2 linked regions of the Bombyx mori genome follow. The protein of the gene in region 2 interacts with the protein of the main gene of each other region in a pairwise test. Links are inferred from orthologs where the notes say so. Each region holds a gene or a part of one and is shown on either strand. Other genes may lie near its edges. The genes, in order: rho GTPase-activating protein 8 and DNA primase large subunit.

Region 1 (9,939 bases), on a different chromosome or scaffold from region 2:
GGAAAAATGTTTATGTATAAAATTCACACTATGAAGCCCATCATTTCGATGTATACTTAAAAACTTATTACTATGACTTATTATAGAAAAGACAGTGATAAATCGCGAGCTTATCCTTTCAGCTACAGTATACTGAATAAATACAGGTAGTGTATGAATAAGTAAATTTGTTAGCTTTAACTTTCTTGTTCTAAATTACTTTTCATAGTGCACGACACGTGTAATGGTAAAACAATATGTAAATGTTTTTTCTTTTATTTTTAATACAAAATTAAAATTCATTATCAATATATGTTTGACTGTAAAATACAGGGAATCATGTAGGTATGTACAAAATAGGTATATGATTTCGACAAAACATAAACTATTTATTAAATAAATTTACTTTCATTTCATAAAAGTTCTACTTAAGCGAACATTGTTGATGTTATAACTAAACCCAAGGTAAACGAAACCGAAACCAAAATACCATATTGGCATAGTTTTCAAAGTCGAATTTAATGTTTTGTACATCTCATATAAAACATTACCTTAATAATTTTCATTACTTCCGCGATGTCGAAGAAAGAAGAGCGTGCGAAATGACCTACATTAATCTAATACAACAGATAACTGAGTAACAGGTGGTTCTGTTACGTGCAAAACTTTTATTATGACTGAGTATTATACTCGTAATACAAATCATAAATTAAAAACGTGTAAGCTATTATTATCGAGTTCATTATTCTTATTTTCTTTTTTTTTTGACATTAGAATTATATTAAAGCTTTCGCGGCTACTACATTTTATTCACGATTCGAGTGTCACGAACCAGTAAGCCAGCGTTGAAGATAAGACATACAAAAAGCTCCCAAGGCTAGTTTACGACCGGATCTAGTCCATGGTCTTCATCCATTAATAACAACACAGTTACAGGGTAAGCCCGATACATGCATTAGATCCTATTGATCGTGATTGAGCAATACTCATTCGTAAAGCGGTCTCTGGGGACTTTTATTGTTTACAGGGATTGAGGAAATCGCTTGATGTAACTGGTTACCAGTTTCCATAATATATTGAAAAATACGAACCTACGTTTTCTGACTGCACTCTCAGTTCTGTTTTACAACAATATTTTCATGATTTATGCAGTCCATGTTCCTATTTATATCCATATATAATATAACGTAGAAGCGATATTTTGGCATAGTCCTCTTTCATCTGAGAGTATATTCAATTTTAACACCAAAATCACTCATCAAAAATCAATCGTGAAATCCTTGAACTCGACATCGCGGCCTTCCAGTTGATTTTAACATATAGGGGACTGTATCTAACAATCAGAACAAGAGCACGTTGATACATCATCCAGATCGATTTACTTGTGCAATTTTTCAATCGTGGACTCTAATCATTTCATCAACACATATTTTATTGAATTACGTATTGCGATTTCAATTTTAATATCGCAGAAAGTAAAGTAAAAATGACCTTGAATAAGTTAAGGTGGTACAACGTCTGAGCTGTCTAGAAAAATCTTTTATGATATTTTCTGAGAAGTTCCAATGTAAAGCATAATATTTTTAGATTCAACGTAAACATTGTGGGTTGAAATCTGCTATGGCGTATAAATTCAAGAATCACAAAAAAATACACCATTTTCTAAGCTTTCTATTGAACGTAGATATTTTTAGAATTAAATCAAAATATTTTCTTCATATTTATATCATATTTTCAAACATACGAAAAATGGGAAATCGCAACTGAAGATTTATCCCAAAGCACACGATATCACAACTGAAAATTTATCCTAAAACCTAAAGTAATTACTATTTATATATTCAATCCGTAAGACCAAGCGAGTCACAAAAACGGTGCAGCGCGTTTTCTTGAATATTTATAACACGCCGATACACTATCACTTCATCCGGTGCGGTGTTTAGAAAGAAAAAAAAAGTTTTTTTTTTTTTATTGCTTAGATAGATGGGTAGACGAGCTCACAGCCCACCTGGTGTTAAGTGGTTACTGGAGCCCATAGACATCTACAATGTAAATGCGCCACCCACCTTGAGATATAAGTTCTAAGGTCTCAGTATAGTTACAACGGCTACCCCACCCTTCTATATAATAATATAACTATAGTTTTTGTGATACTCGTTACTAATATTTGACTGTGAATATAGTGTTTGTTTTCCAAATGAATAAACTTCCACTTCAAAGACCGAACTACGCCCTCATCGTGACATGTAATTTAACCTGACTACTGTGCATAAAATCCTCGACAGTGACGACGAATCGACAAACGAAACAATCCATCAGCTTAAATTTAAACGAATATACAGCTTTCGTTCCAAGCTCATTCCGAAATTATTGCTCACCCAATGCGTTCAGATTAATACACGAATTACTTGCTGGTAACGAGTAGTAGAATCACAAATCCATAAAGCTTATTAACAAAATTGCCTAATGTGTAAGGTAGTTTTATGCAACTCTGGTGTGCCATTGCATAATTTATCACCGCAAATAGATGTTTGCTTCGATTTGATTGTTTAAGTATAAGGTCATAGTACAAGAGTAATTAAAATTGTTATATTAATGTTGTATTGTCATTCGATTTTGCAAACTGATGACCAAAGAGGAGCGATTAATACTACTGCACCATCAAAGCCATACTGGGGACCACAGATCCAGATTTTTTTTCTCCATTAAATGTTATCATAAGTAAAGTACTTTGGGGGCCCAGCCCTAACTTTGTCAGTTCATTGTCAATGGAGTAACCAGGGAATGCATGTTGCAGTGTCGAAGTAGACTTTAGCGTACGTCACTTTTAAATACAACTCGGTGAAGACTAAGCTCTAATGCAATAATTTATGCATAATATAAACTATTATTGAACTTCAAGTTTAGAATATTAGCATTGAAAATGCTTCAAAATAGAATGTAATTATTACTTTTATATAAAATAAAGTTTGTTGTATTTTAATTCTCATAAAGAGTTTTTTTTCTTTCCCATCTATGCTGATGCCTTGAGAGCCTATTTCAGCTTCTCCTTGACGTGTAAGTGAGCTTACGGGGGTCAAACCGAGAATGTTGCTAACATTGGCTCTAGTAAGAGCAGTGCTTCGCAGAATCTACCGCTAGATCTGAAACGCGCCCCACTGAGAAGATCGAGCCCTTCGTCGCAAGCGACGGGTTCGACGAGGACGGTGCTTGTGGTACCTAAAAGCACCGTTAATGGATCGGAGGATCCGTAATTACGTGTTTAGGGCGACGTCGACTGTTTACTATTCGCTCCACAGGATCGGGTATGAGGAAAGAGTATAGATTCTCAGCATACATAAAGTTAATGACAAAAATTTAAATGAGAATACCCAAGAAATCATTCAAAGGTTTTTTATTATTTTTTTATTGCTTAGACGGGTGGACGAGCTCACGGTTCACCTGGTGTTAAGTGGTTGCCGGAGCCCATAGACATCTACAATGTAAATGCCGCCACCCACCTAGAAACATGAGGTTATAAGGTCATAGGTCTCATAAGTTCTGTCATAAGGACATAATGTCTCACTTTTAACAGAACAACGGCTGCACCGCCATTCAAACCGAAACGCATTACTGGTTCACGTCAGCAGGGCAGGGTGGTGGTATCTATTTGTGTGGACTCGCAAGACGTCCTACCACCAGTAATTACACAAATTATAATTTTGCGGGTTTCATTTTATTATACGATGTTATTCTTTCAAGGTTGAAGTCAATCGTGGACATTTGTTGAGTATGTATTTCATTGTAAAAATTAGTACCTGCCGACGGATCGGAACGCCGATGCATCGCTACATACGAATGCACCGGACGTCTAATTCTTTTGGCCACGACGACTCATCAAAAGATTGTAAGGTAAAAGAAGATTGATTTTTTGGAAGCATCTACAATGGAAGAAACCCTACTATAGGGGTCTAGGAATTAATGATTCAATGTAAGTATAAATTATTGCCCTATTCCAGAAATTTTCATTGATTTATAACTGAAATATTGAGCATAATTTTACAAACACTTTCATTTTCCCCAATATCTAAAAACACATCCCAAAGATCAAGTTTCCTTCATTTTATTTGTAACCCTTGTAGGTGCCTGATGGTGAGTGGCTACTGTCGCTCATGGACATCAGCAATGCCAGGGGCAGAGCCAAGCCACTGCCTACTGTTAAGTAATCTCCACACGCCTCATTTGACAAAGGACATGTCACAGCTCTTGGTAAACAATGTAGAGCTGAGCTCATTCCAATGCCAGACAATATGTAGATGTAAAATGTAAAAATAATATCTGGAAACGGACTGTAGATGATTGCAGTGACAAGAGATTAAAAATAGTAATATCCAGATTCAACTCAAAGGAAAATTTTATAAAAAAATTTGAATTGCATCCAGCCAGCTCAAAATTTTATGGAAATATGATAAGAGTATCAATGCTGAAAAACTTTAAGCATATTTTTATCAAAAGCATGTTTTACAAGTGAGCACTATAGTTTAAAAACCAAAGGTAAGGAAAGTTTTGTAAATATTAATTACATGACAAACTAATTCTCAATTGCATTTTTAATAAAAATCCAAAGCTGTGACCTAGCTGTCCAAAACCTACCAAAAAAACTTAGCACTTCAGATTAAATTTAAAAAAATATCATTAATGATTTTTGTTACATTATTAATTTGGAAATAAAACTTTATAAATATAAAATAAAATTCATGCTTCCGAGTGCACCTCACCCAATCATTAAGCTCATTTTTTAAATTTCCAACTATGTCTATTTTGTTTTGTTAGATTTATATTTTATAACACCTACCACAATTATTCCAAATATAGTTAAATAACCTTTAAATACTTACCTAGACCAGGTCCATGGATCAATTCAGAGTCATCAAATTCAAGGCTTGGTTCATAGTCATGGTACTCAGAAAGACTAGTGTAATTTTCCTCTGTTTCCCCATTACAACCATGTAGAACTAAAAAGAAATTTATTTAAAATACATATTTATTATTATTTAAGCAAAAAGGCTTAAAGAAAAAAAAAACAAACACATTTTTAAAATAAAAATAATTTTAAAAACTAATAATTACCATAAATAAATAAAACTCAATTTTGGATGATATTCTATCAAATATGCCTCCAATTTGTTTTCCAATCACATAATTTTAAATAATATTTGCTAACTGGTTCAAACATAATTGAAATAAACTCAAAATTAAATTTTGATCATTAATAATAAAATGAACTCAAAAATGAAATAAAAAAACTTAACTTCATATACAGTCAAAACTTCCCACTAACTTGTTGCTCTTTCTGCTGCAGCAGCCTGGGAGGAGTTATTCCGTTTGGGGAATAAAAAAGAAAACCACGATCGAAACTTATTTCTGGCACAATTGAAAATATTCATTTTGAATAATTAAAGAATTTTAGGGAACAATTAGCAAGCAGAGTAATGGAACATTCACATCAAGTTAGAGGGTTGTACTGAATGATTCTCTAAACAACACTAAGAGCACGCAACCTCACGCGCAGGCGGGGCGCGACGTACTAAGTTAGGTCAATGTGTAAAGGCTAAAGTGCTAACATATCTAAATATACTACACATACCTTGAAAGGCCCTGACCGGATTAAGTTTGGGTTGATGTTCCGGGTCCATTTTGAATCATCAAATAAATCTATACAATTATGGTTTCTCGAAATCAAACAATTTGCTGTTACTTCATATGCGTAGACAATATCCCTTCGAGCTAATAAATCCGTTATCCTCCAGTCTTATTAATGTTTAAAATGTACTGTAATCTGAAATTAACAAGAAAATTATAAAATTAAAATGCAAGCAACTACCTACATATTTATCTAAGAACTATGTAGCTTTATTATTTCCGATTCCAGTTGTACAAGAGTAAAACTCGAGATTATCAGACAAAACAAATGCTCTATTCCATTGACGTTGAAAGGAATACGTCAAAATGGGCTTTACAATCACAGAATAATTTAAGAAATTACGTCTTATACTTATAGGCTTAATACAGTTGGCTAAATTTAGTCGACTGAATTCAGTCGCTACTGAATTCAGTGAAGCGTAATAGCATTAAGTAAGTTGGCCTACTAAATTCAGTAGCAAGGATGGTTTCGGACTAACTAAATGATTATTTAGAAGCCTAATTAGAAACGCATTTAGGAAGGTGTAATCGCATTTAGTTACTTCGTGATTTTTTACTTTAAAATAAAAAGTATTAATTTCGGTCACCTTTATTTAATGTGCCAGACATTTATAAATAGCCCAACATGTTTCAGGGATAATTTTTATCAGGGGTTGGTATATTGAAGAACTAAATTTTAAATCTTGATACGAATTTCCTGTTGCAAGAAATCTTAATGTTACAACCAATCTTTCTTTTGGACTTATACTATCGTAGGATTAGATATGTATGGGTTATATAATAGATATATAATAGACGCAGAGTCCTCCTCCAGTCAATTCCTCGAGTTCAGTCATCTGTTCTGGTGAAACTATAGGGTTCTAGGTTAACAAAAATACCTCCATCCAAACAAATGAATAACATAAAGTAATAATAAAAAAGTCGATTATGGATTCTCTAATGCCTCATTTAGATACTCGCCGACTACATATATATAGGCCGTAGGCACAAATAGGAGTATATGAAGGAGTATGTGAACAACTTAGATAGCCCCGCGTGGTGCCGATCCTTTAGCGCTAAGCATTATTAATGGTCTTTATTTCTGTGCTGTGTTACTTCATTTCATCCAATGCTTATGTTTTCCTATTTCACCTCTTTTAATTCCATTTAATTTCTGTTGATTTCGTTATTGCAGTTTTTATCCATGTAACATCCATGACATACAACATATGGGAAGTCGTCGTGGCCTAACGGATAAGACGTCCGGTGCATTCGTGTTGAGCGATGCACCGGTATTCGAATCTCAGGCGGGTACCAATTTTTCTAATGAAATACGTACTCAACAAATGTTCACGATTGATTTCCACGGTGATGGAATAACATCGTGTATTAAAAATGAAACCCGCAAAATTATAATTTGCGTAATTGCTGGTGGTAGGACCTCTTGTGAGTCCGCGCGGGTGGGTACCACCACCCTGCCTATTTCTGCCGTGAAGCAGTAATGCGTTTCGGCTTAAAGGGTAGGGCAGCCGTTGTACCTATACGTGAAACCTTAGAACTTATATCTCAAGGTGGGTGGCGCATTTACGTTGTGGATGTCTATGGACTCCAGTAACCACTTAACACCAGGTGGGCTGTGAGATCGTCCACCCATCTAAGCAATAAAAAAAAAATTACTTAATTTCAGCCATTGTTACATAAGATTTGGCTGAATGAGCTATGTCTCTTTTGCTTATCCAATGGATGAAATAAATCAACTAACCTTCTGAAATGTAAAACGATAGTCTGTAACACATTCTGTATTATCTATGGTTCAAGTAATCAAACAACTCTCAACTAAGTTTAAAGTTTAAAATCTATGCAAAAAAAATTGGAGTGTACGCTATTTAATATCTATGTAGGTTTTTAGTTTATTGAGTAAATTGAGTTATCTACTGTACAAGATAAAAATAAGAACATGCTAGGTTATTCGAATGCCGGTATACCGGATAAATCATGGCAACCACCCGTTGTTGTAATTGAAACGACGTAAGTCATTCAAAACTTTAACATTAACTAATACCATTTATCCAACATTTGTAATAGATATCATAAATATGTAATATCCGCCTTTAAGATTGCAATCTTATAAATCACGAATGAAACAAAAACCATTCTGAATTCTAATTGTAACCAAAAAAAGTATACATAATAACTCGTTCTATTTCACACTTCATGTTTCTATATGACCGGAACTATTAATCAGCTAAACTATGTCCAATCAAACGGAACAAATAATAATCAGATGGTGGGTGGGGCAAGTCGTGCCCTTAGCCTTTCCAGGCAGGTTTTGGCAACATGAGACAGCATTGTCATGCAAGAGAATTATTATTTTATCATACCTTTGATGGTATCGTGATAATTTATACTTGTATAGTGCTCGCCTTCATTGCATTGAGTTCAATACTGTTCCCTAGTGAATATGTTGTTTAGATCCAACAGCTCATAATCAACAACACCGACTTAGTTCCACTGAATGCACAAAATAACTTTTGCACTGTGAATATTCAGCTGACCCGAGAATGTAGATGTGTGACTGGACAGTCCCCAAGATACTTTTCTCTTTGGGTTGCTGTATTGAATCCACTTTTCATCACTTATCATGATGTGATGAAGAAAACTGTTACTTTTACACCACTGGATCCTTTATTCACGGAAAAGATAATGCTCATTATCTCTTGGTTTCAACTCATAAAGAACCCAAGCTACTTCCTTCTGAATCATTCCCAATGCATGCAATGGTTTGGATATAGCTTTGGCTAGTAATAATGCTGAAGCAAGCTGATCTTGCTTTTGCTACATATCCTCATCGAGCAATGCCTCCAACTCAGTGCCTTTGGAGGCTTTCCTGAATGTGGAAATCACCGTCTTTTTAGAAAGGGAACCAATCCAGACACTTCATTTCATTTTCATTTTTGGAGCCCTTGATCATTTCGGCCACTGTTTTCTTTGAATGAAAAGAGAAGCGACGGCATAATAATAATTATTATTATTATATTATTATATGAATGATCATGCAACAATAAAATCACTAATGTATCAAAACACTTTCTTTACTGTATTTCTACTAAGCTTGGTTTACAATGTTTTAGATCTCTCAAAATTCGTTTTTTGATAAATATTATAGAATGAGAAACTATGACTTTTTTGTATTAAATATTGCATTGTTTTATATACTGTATGCCACTCTCACAATTGAGATTAATCAAAAGATATCCCAAATGTTCAAATCCATTAAAAAGTTAATTGGAAGAAATTAAGCATACATGCAAATGTTCAAAAAACATTACCATTGCAAGAGCAAGTAATCTTTTCTTTTTTTCGGGCCGAGGGCTGAACCTCCTGCAAGGTCCCCGCGCCTAGGGGGCGCGCGGGTTATGTGAGACTCAACGATCTGCAGTTGTTGAGAGCAGACCGAGGGCCCAAGGAATTTTAGGGCCCACCCACTAAACGACTCCCCTGCAAAAACGACGTCCGATCTTCGTCTGGGGTCAAAACCCGGCCAGAGTAGGGGGGTTCCCGCGGTCAACACTACAACCAGACACGCGGCGCCATCCCGAGGACGCCCGACCGACGGGTCGTCGAGGCGATAGTCGACGACCAACGACGTCGGTCTCCGCGGTACGGCGGCCCTACCAGGCCGCCCGGGCGATGCCGCTGCTGTTCCGGCATACCCCGCTGGGCCAGAACCAGCCTGCTCTTTCACAGTATGTTCGGCGACGACAGCGACGACGACAATGCGGACCGCATCGCAGTCCGCAGTCGTCGACGCGTCGCCCAGTCCTCCTGGTGCCAGCGCGCTAGAGTGACTATAGCGTGCGGCGCAGTCTCAACCCCCTTAGGTCGCCCCGTGACCATCACCGGGAGGAGACTGCCTCCTCATAGGGGCCGGAGCTGGACAAACGCCCTCCTCCGACCCCTGACTCGACGGTGGCGGCGGTTCTCCCTCTCCGGTTCCGCTGCCTCCTTCTGCGAGATGGTGGACTCGCAGAAGTCGAGCATCGCCAGAGCAAGTAATCTGTGTCAACTTTAGTAGTATTATGATAAAGTGCCGTAGTTGTTGTTGTTCATCATCATCATCATTCTTTCCTATTACCCTCTACTGGGGTGTAGGGCTCGAATCAAATTTTTCCATTTATATCGGTCTTGGGCAGTCTGTTCTAGCTCCTCCCACGTCATGCCCAAGAACCCTAGCTCCTGCTCCACCGAGCGACGCCAAGTTGTTCTGAGGCGGCCTCTCTTCCTTTTGCCAGACACTTT
Region 2 (9,909 bases):
GTTGCTACACTGGGCCTAGCAAGAGCAGTGATTCACAGAATCTACCACCGAATCGGAAACGCGACCCAGTGGGCTGTAAACCCATAGATTAGTTTACTCACCGAACCCTTCGTCGCATGTGACGGATTCGACGACAACGGTGACCGGTGCTTGAGGTACCTAAAAGCACTGTTAGTGGATCCGAAATGACGTGCTTAGGGTGTCGTCGACTGTTTGCCATTCGGTCCGCAGGATCGGGTATGTAATTTCCGGCGGCCACGACAAGAGGATTTTCGTGTCGTGCCGCCTTCTCAAAGTGGCGCACTGATGCCGACTGAATATACTTACTGATGGAGTCATGCTCCATGACATCATGGAGACCCACGGTGCTCCGACAGCTATCCTGCAAAAACGGGATTGGATGACTTGAAGGGGTTTCAAATTAGTGCGGGCCGCGTGAACGAACACTACACTTGCATAGGTCATGATCGGACGTATGCAAGGTTTGTAGTGTCGTCACCTTATTACAGAAGGACAATTTACTTTGCTTGCAAATCATCGGATAGGAGTATGGTATGGAACTTATATATAAAAGTTCAAAGAGTGCTACAAATATCCACGGCATATTTCTTTGAATTCAGAATCATTTGACACCAGATGAACAATTAGGTCGTCTTATACCTAATAAGAAGTGAAAATGCGTAAGAATCCTCGAAGTCGTCCTGACGTAACAGGGTAAGACGTCCACTCGACGACTAATTTTTCGAATGGAAATATACTGAACACATGCTCTCGAATAACTTCCACATATAAACGTGGAATGTAAACGTCAACTACGATTTTGTGAAACTTTGATTCAGCAGTATACCTAACAAAAAAAAAAAAAGAAAACCGACTTCAACAAAATAAATATGTGATTAAGGTAATAATTGTAGTTGAATTCAATTAAATATCCATTATTGCAATTAACTCAAAACTACTGGTCAGATCTTGATTAAATTGAAATGGGATTATACGAGAAGCCCCAACTTCGAAATAAAAAAATTAACGTCAAAATCCCCAAAAAATAAGTTCTAAGGTAACACATAAATAAATACAGAGAAATTGAGAATTACTACCTTTTTTGAAATCAGTTGAAAATTATGCGATTGTACATGTTCTTAGTGTTCGAAATTATCGGATTATATTGAATATTGTAGCGCTTTCAGCATATTTTGTATGTAGTTACAAAAATGTCGAAATAACATTTTATATAGGTCTTTGTAACCAGATATCGTATGTAGAAGCAATATTGCGTCGGTCCAACTAAATTGATAACAAATATTGTAAATTATGCAGTTATAAAGTTATAAAAAACCATATTTCTTAATTTTATTAAACGTCGCCTCGTGATTTCACCCGCGTTAAGTTTGTAATTAATAAATAATGAAGCTCAAACCAGCAAATACAGTTGTGTTTACCGATATTTAAAAAAAAAACAACTACATGCACCGATTTTTGAAGTGAAAACTTCTTTAGAATCGTTGTGATTTCAAACCGGATGCAACGGAAAAAACGACAGGTAAGAGACACAAATACAAAAATGTGTAGGATGAAGCCAGCAAAGAATGAGACAGAAATATACATACTATTTAATACAGCGCCATCTGTGAGATTTTTTAATACTAACGTGTGTATGAAAGCTCTTGTAGTGAATTTTAATTTAGGATTATACGTGAAATTAAAATATCAATTCACAGAGGGCGCTACCTTACAATTATTTATTAATGACAAAATTTTACATATACTTAAGACGTTTAGGATAATTGTATTTTAATTTTGGAAGGTTTCACTTCTACCACGTGAGAATTGCACACATTTTGTATTTTTTTAAAAAGGAAACCGATTAAGTTACAGAAGCATATGGAGGCTTACTACACCATTAATTTTTATATTAGTGTTCATAAAAACTCTAAACGTTATCATAGAAATGCATCGATATTCAATCAAATACCGTGAATAGTATACACTCGTAGTATGAAATTTGTTTTGTAAGCACAGAAAGAGATAAAAAAACAAGAATTTTAGACTTTATAAAACAACGGCGAATGGAGGGTGCAAATACTACGGCCTTTGTACTAAACATACTAAGCATGTACTTATATAGAAACTGTCCTGGAATAAAAAAAAACCGCTCAAAGTAACAAGGACTTTCTGGAAAATTAATGTGCATTTGGTTACGCTTGACAAAATAGATAGTAATTATACTTACTACTCGGTCAAGAAAGTACTTACACGGAAAATATCAATAATAAACAAAATGTTAGTTATTCATACAAATCACCTTCAAAGTAAGGTTCTTTAATTACCTTCAAAGTTCTAGGTACCACCACCCTGCCTATTTCTGCCGTGAAGCAGTAATGAGTTTCGGTTTGAAGGGTGGGTGGGGCAGCGGTTGTAACTGTACTGAGACTTTAGAACTCATATCTCAAGGTGTGTGGCGGCATTTACATTATATATGTCTATGGGCTTCTGTAACCACTGAACACCAGGTGGGCCGTGAGCTCGTCCACCCATCTAAGCAATAAAAAAGTAAACTCCTTGCAGTTGTGAGAGATAAACCCTCGTAAAACCTCTCTTGGGTTGTGTCTCGGACGGAGATTGGCCGATCGGGCGAGAGTAGTCGTTTATTGGGTGGCCTCTATCATTTTGCAAGTCCCATATAATCAGGACGTAGAAGTTTCGTGCTTAACCCCCGTATCTTTAGTCGTTCACACGAGCTTAACTCGACTCGACTCAACCTCCAACGCGGTTTTGGTATGCTTACTTAAAAAAAATGTGTTGTACCCACGTATATCTGTTAAATCATTATAACAATTTTTTATATGTATTCTAATTCTAAATTATTATCTTGACAAAATTATCTTTTCGGGCGATATCACAACAATAGCGTACTGCGAACGATAGGAATACCACCGAGAATCGACATTGCTATTATCGAACCCGGATGTCCCGCTATATGGCGAGCTCTCGACTTTATCCCATATTGAATATATTACTTTATATCTGCTAATGGCTTTCGTATTCATTCGTTAATAAAAGATTCGGCGTTACTTTTTCTGAATGTAATTTGTATTGTAATAAAATTTTACTACACTATATATATAACTTCTTTATGGTGAAGATATTTATGTATTATAATAAAAAAAATAGATACATAATTTGATTCTTAAAAAGTTTCGTGTCTGCCTTATCACGCTTCACAATGTAATTGATGATTCATAGATTGTGAATTTTATGGACAAAGGACTACGTAATGAATTGTTATTGTTCATTTTAGTATTGTCAACTGTAGATGAATAGACAAGCTAATGGCCTGACAGACCAATGCATGAAACAACAATATGTTGCGATAGCAATCCGCTTTGGCAACAATGAAGATGGACTGTTGGTCGAAACTTCCATCTCACATACTACGCCGCTCAAACATATGCCTGCCAAATTACGAAAGATAATAAAAAAATTTTTGCAGGTCTGAAATGTTTAAAAATTATATCAAATGATGGAACACGGAAGTTGGAGGCAGCATGTGAAAAGGAACTCACAAGTAGATTAGAAATGTATAGATTTGTAGCAGCTGTAAGTTTTGTTTTAATTAATTATTAAGTAAAGATTCATCAAATCAAATCAGTTTGTATCTGAAATAGCAAAATTCCAATTTTATGCTTGATTTTAAGTGTCATAACCAAATATCCTTTAATAATTTTTTTTTTTATTATTCTTTGCTTTTTATAATTGTGTTTACATAATTAATTTGTTTTTTAATTTACAGAAATTTGAAACACTGGGAGATGTTTATCATAGCATATCATCATCACCATCAAAAAAGTATTTCTTAGTTGTAGGTATTTCGATTGTAGGCATAATTTTTATATTTGGTCTGTACTGTGGACATGTTACTAAAAAAGCTATGTATGTTAAGCAAAAATAATAAATGAACTATTGCAATATGAAATAAGTTTTATTTCTGTTGTGTTAGATCATTCCAGTGGCTCATCAAAATCCATAGCATCTATGCTGTCAACAATATCTTTCTTCACAAGATTTTCTTTCTTGGGTTGTACTTTCAATTCTCCTTTCAATATTTTCTGACTCTCCTCAAAGAACTGATTAGGATGATTGATACCTAAACCAACATCTGCATTGTGGATGGCATCAAAATATTTACTGCAGGCAATTTGGAAATGTGTTTTCTTGCTCAACTCCACTATATCAGAAACAACTGAAAATCAAGAAAATTTACCTTTTTCAGTGAAATTTACAACTAGTGCAAGCCTCCATATGTATTAACATTGCTGTTTGCAAAGGAGGCTCCAATGAGTGTTAGTAACTGAGTAACATTTGGCAGTCTATAAATTTTGGTTTCACTTAGGTTATTTTAATATTTTGGCATGTACAATCTACCAACTGATTAGTTCACTAAAGGAGTAATCAATATCTACTGAAGTGTCACCTCATCAATAGTGCAACTTGGTAAATTAAAGGCAATATTTTTGGGAACATAATAAACTAATATCAGTTATTTTAAACTTTTAAGCTTTAGTACATTTTTTAAAATAGTTTATGGAGTTGTAATTAATTTTATTTAGCACACTATAATTACACAACATTAAGTACTTAGAAATGAATACATTACGTTATTCTATTAGTCTGTGTACAAGTTAATGTTGTTGTGGCTTTGATAAAACAGTTATAACATTTTGATTTACCTTGATGACTAAAACCATAGCCAATAAGTTTATTCTTTAGAACACCAGTATCACAGTGTCTGAATGGACATCCATGACAATCTCCAGGACCAACATTGGTATTTATAATCTTCAGACAACTGAATGGTGAATAATTCCTTTTGCTTCCTTCTTTTCCATAATTGTATCTAACATTATAAGCATATTGCTTTTCAAATTTATCCAAATCCATAATCTTAATGAATTCTTCCCTCCAAAACCTTAAAGAGTCTTCCAGTGTCACACCAATACCTTTTAAGAACAAGCCATACTGTAACCTGCCCCCATGTTTTAAGTGATGGGCAATTCTTAATTGTTCATGAAGTTGCCTCATACACAGAGGAAATGACTTGGTTGAAATAGAGTCCAAGCTTTCTATGGGTATCACAGCTTTAGTTTCAGAATAATCATTACCTGAATAAGATTGATGTAAGCCTTTTAACAAACAAACAAGTCGTTCATCTTGTTCAATTTCACACAGATGATGGCAAGCTTTGGCCAAATTTTGTTTTAAATGTGTTCGATACTGTGCTGCAAGAACTGATATGAAATCTCTGTGAGGTATATAAGCGTATCCATCATTAAGAAATACTTTTCTTGCTTTAACCAAATCTAGAACTTCAAAGAATTTAACCTTATAGAATTTCATATTGTCTATTTTAGAGTAGGGTGTAGATTCTATTAAGTTTTGTATTACTTCGTTTTTTTCATCTTCAGAAATAGTAGTGTAACATAGATTGTTTAGTTTAAAGAATACCTCTACCGCTTCGCCTCTCATGACAGCAAATCTCATTTTGAATAGTTCCAATTCCCTTGCGATGAACCAACGTCGCAACTCTTCAGTCCGACAATAAGCAAGTCGGAGTATAAAATGAGCAATGTGATCTTTTCTTCGGGCTTCAAAATCTGCTTTAGTAGATCCACAACCCGATTTCTCACACAATTTAGCATAATATTTCAAACCCTGTGCTCGTAAATCGTTTAGTACGAATTCCACAAATTCTTCTGAATTTAAACGCAACCCTCGAAGAGTTGTAGCTGTAGACAACGTTCTTAACAAATTTACACGCTCCAGAGCTAATGTTTCAAATTCTTGTAAAGTGATGTTTTCAACCGGTGGAATTTTGTACAATTGTAAGTCATGTGGATAGAGTTCGAATTGATTACCTGTTGCTGGAGTTTTGGTAGATTTTCTTTTAACTTTGAAATCCATACTTTTTTATATATTTAATAATTACTTTTAACCTTTATTGTGTTATAAATTCTTGTTATTAATAATGTTCATATTAATAATGTTTAGCACTATTGTTACACTTGCTACTGGAACAATTTTGGCGCCAGTTTTTACTATATAGGTCTATGAGTTTTTGTAGACACAAATCACAATAGTGACAAGTAACAGTGACAGACATCATTGTTGATTTGTCCACAAAAGAGACAAAGGCATCGTAGCCCAAAATAGCTTAGAATAAAGATTAAATCCATTTTTGTCTTGTGTTTGTCTCAGATTGATTTTCAGCTTTCGCAGTTTTGTCCATAATGAAAGAACGATATGACTAATGGTAATTGCTTTTTTCATGACCACACAATGACAATAACGACAAATAAAATGGGATTTAAGACTAAAATAAAATTACAGCAAGAATTTTCATTGCCTTCGAAGGCTATATACTGTATATACGAACCTCTGTGAAACTATAAACATAAAACCATGTTCTTACAAGTATTAAAATACTTAATCCGAAACCTGATCTATTATTGAAAACAAGTTTTTTATGATTTCGTAACAATTTTAAAAAGCCATTGGTCAGACCAAGTGACTGAGGAATTCAAAATGCTAATGCCTCAGGCTCTAAATTAGGACGAAACCCGTGGCGAGTAAAGAAGTTTACAGCGTTTCAGTCGAAGTTACGAAGCTTATTAGCGAGGGAACACTTTAAAACGAAAAGTCCTGAAATTTTGTTTATCGTTACTGGTAAATTGATAGTTCTGATAACATTGCTCTTGTTAAAATAACGGTTTTGTATAGATAGTGATAGCTTCATTACAGCACTTAATAGATAAATCGCTTGATGTCAATTTATTCTTTGTTATACTTAGTGGCCACACTGGAAACCGGTAAATAGAACTTCGGGGTGATGTTGATGCGAGGGTTGAATCAGAGTGAGGTAAAATAAAGAAATAAACTCATGGGATTAATAATTTTTTATAAAATTTTCAACGAACTAAAGTTTCATAATTAAATGTAATATTTTAGTTAAGTTGAATAGTGTGATGGATCAAATCATTATTTTATTATTATACTGCAGACAAATTATCCTGTTCGTATAATTTGCGCTGACTATGCGCACGTGATTTTAATTTTCTACTATATTTATTATAGAGTATTTCTATGACTGGGTCCCACAAACTGCCAGATTTGTTTTCATCAATGTCTGACGCCCACCGTAGTTTCTAGAGTAATTACCAAATTTTTTAAATATCGTGTTGAATAATAACAAAGATTCGGCTCAACGAATTTATAGTAACGAAAATGGCTTTATATTTTAGTAAAGAAAATAAATAATAGTTTAAAAAAATGTTTTATCCTAAAATATCATAGCTAAAAAAATTTAAACTATTCATCAAAACAAATCACTCACGAGTTGTGGAAATCTTATTTCCACTTAAAATGGAATGCTGAAAATTACAAAAATCTGGATTTGTATACTCAAACAGTGAGGCTGATGTGGGCTAATGACGTTGCTGGTAATGCACATGTTGTTGCTCTTTCCGGTTTTACACTTCGGTCATTCTCTATGCACTTCACTCACTACTTTTGCAATTTACAACATGTCAATAATCTGTCAAGTTGGCTAGACTCCGAAATCAAACCATTATTTTGAATTAAAACCAATCAATTGAATGGAGCAATGCTGCGTGATAGTATCATTTAGTTAAAATTTGGCAACTGCGTTAGAATCCGTATCAATTAATAGAATTTTTCATAGCGACATCGATGGTAAAGATGCAGTCGTCACTAGATGATTTAGTTCAGTATACACAGCTTTTCAAGCCTGTTCCGACTGTTTTACAAGGCACGGTTTTGCCTTTTCTATTTATTTACCCTCTGGTTTTTTATTCATGGATCGTTGTGTACGGTATAGAAGATAATTTCGAGGCAGGATTCGTGACTGTGGCTGTGATAGCAACAGTCCAGATCCTCATATGTTTGTGTTGTTACTGGAGTGTTCATATCAACTGCTTCCTTTCTTGTTCAGCGGTAAGTCCTTAGACAGCAAAATGTTTTTAAAAAGAAATTAGAGACTTTACATTTGCTATATGATGTTGATGACAGGTTAAAGATCCAATACAAGCTGAGGTAGTCAAGGTTGTACCGACTTCTAACAATGGATCATCTGAGCTTGTTCGACTACATCATACGAAGGTAAGACTTATATTGTGAACTTTAACAAAAACCATATTAAAATTTTTCAACTGTGATGTTCACACAGTATTGGAATAAAATGATTTACATCTGCATCACATTGAAGGTACCAAGTTATTGGTATAGTGGCTAGTAAATATGGCCATACCGTATCCCATAGTCTTAGATGTATTCTATTTGGTTGTTTTTTTTGGCATTTGTATTGGCAAGTATTTGGCATTAGGTAGGGATCGCAGTGTATTTGTTTTCTCTTTCAAAAACAGACACATTACATGGTAGAAATCTCTGTACTTTCAGGTCTTTGAATGTGGAATGAATACAAATAGCCACAAATATTTTTCCAGCTTGTTCATGGTTTTCAAGTTTTAAGTTTCAAGTTTTACATTCAAATTCTTGTCGAACCCGTCACTTGCAACGAAGGGCTCGATGAGTAACTTAACCCTCAGACACAGGCCACTGAGTTTTTCGCCGAATCTTCTCAGTGGGTCGCGTTTCCGATCCGGCGGTAGATTCTGCGAAGCACGGCTCTTGCCAGGGTTCGTGTACGCAACGTCGTCAGGTTTGAGCCCCGTGAGCTCACCTACTAGTTAAGGTTCTGCTGAAATAGCCTCCCAAGGCTATCAGCTTATGTAGGAAAAAAATAACATTCAAAGTTAATGATAGTACAGGGTACAATTTAGAAAAGAGAATGAGGGCTTCGAGTCGATTTTCACTAAGTTCAGGTTTATTTTAAAATATATTTGATTTACAGTCAACAAAAAAAGACAGTATACACCCAGATGTTTGGTTCATATTTCAAAAGAGTAAATATGTGTATGACTGGGATAAAAAGAATTTTCACACCATAGAATTTCCTATCAATAAAATTTATGAAGAATATATGGAATCCAAAGGATATTCTGATGATGAGGCTATTGATTTAGCAGAAAAAGAATTTGGTAAAAATGAGATGGTTATGGTAAGTAATCTTTGTAAAATCATAAACATATATAAATGAAAATTAAATTAAGAATGTTATTTTAAAAATATTTGAACCATACAAACCACTCTACAAATTTTCAGGTTGTTCCGGAATTTATGGAACTTTTTAAAGAGAGAGCAACAGCACCATTTTTTGTATTTCAAGTATTTTGTGTAGCTCTGTGGTGTTTGGATAAGTATTGGTATTACTCAATATTCACACTAGTGATGTTGGTTATGTTTGAATGTACATTGGTGCAGCAACAGCTCAGAAATATGGCTGAGATCAGAAAGATGGGCAATAAGCCTTACAACATTAATGTATATCGAAACAGGAGGTGGAGACAAATAACAAGCGATCAGCTTTTACCGGGTGACATAGTATCCCTCACAAGATCCGTCAACGAAAACCTGGTCCCTTGTGACATAATACTCTTACGGGGGTCCTGTATTGTAGATGAGTCCATGTTGACTGGTGAGAGTGTTCCACAAATGAAAGAAGCTTTGGAAAATGAAAAGGACCTCCAGCAACATCTAGAACCTGAGGGTGATGGTAAACTTCACATGCTTTTTGGTGGTACTAAGATTGTACAACATTCCTCACCATCCAAAAGCTCACCTTCAGGGCTTAAAGCCCCGGATAATGGTTGCATTGGTTATGTTATACGTAATGGTTTTAACACATCACAGGGTAAACTGCTAAGAACCATTTTGTTTGGAGTGAAAAGGGTCACAGCTAATAATCTTGAAACTTTTGGATTCATAATGTTTTTGCTT

The links.
Region 1: the proteins of DNA primase large subunit (region 2) and rho GTPase-activating protein 8 interact in a two-hybrid assay, tested with the Drosophila melanogaster proteins (2 studies listed by BioGRID). The link is inferred for Bombyx mori from reciprocal best matches to the Drosophila melanogaster genes Prim2 and RhoGAP68F.

Annotation. Positions count from the first base shown.
Region 1 is NC_085107.1:5,052,661-5,062,599, forward strand, and holds the start of rho GTPase-activating protein 8, read right to left. Parts: upstream 5,966-9,939; 5' UTR 5,655-5,965; coding exon 5,606-5,654; intron 4,974-5,605; coding exon 4,857-4,973; intron 1-4,856. Other genes in the region: peptidylprolyl isomerase, read left to right, coding at 7,598-7,668. UniProt on the Drosophila melanogaster protein: Functions as a GTPase-activating protein (GAP) for RhoA/Rho1 during gastrulation by converting it to an inactive GDP-bound state.
Region 2 is NC_085110.1:5,389,423-5,399,331, forward strand, and holds DNA primase large subunit, read right to left. Parts: upstream 6,487-9,909; 5' UTR 5,959-6,486; coding exon 4,728-5,958; intron 4,241-4,727; coding exon 3,999-4,240; 3' UTR 3,961-3,998; downstream 1-3,960. Other genes in the region: Golgi apparatus protein 1, read left to right, coding at 3,491-3,597, 3,791-3,949; endoplasmic reticulum transmembrane helix translocase, read left to right, coding at 7,744-8,007, 8,083-8,172, 8,924-9,130, 9,235-9,909. UniProt on the Drosophila melanogaster protein: Regulatory subunit of the DNA primase complex and component of the DNA polymerase alpha complex (also known as the alpha DNA polymerase-primase complex) which play an essential role in the initiation of DNA synthesis.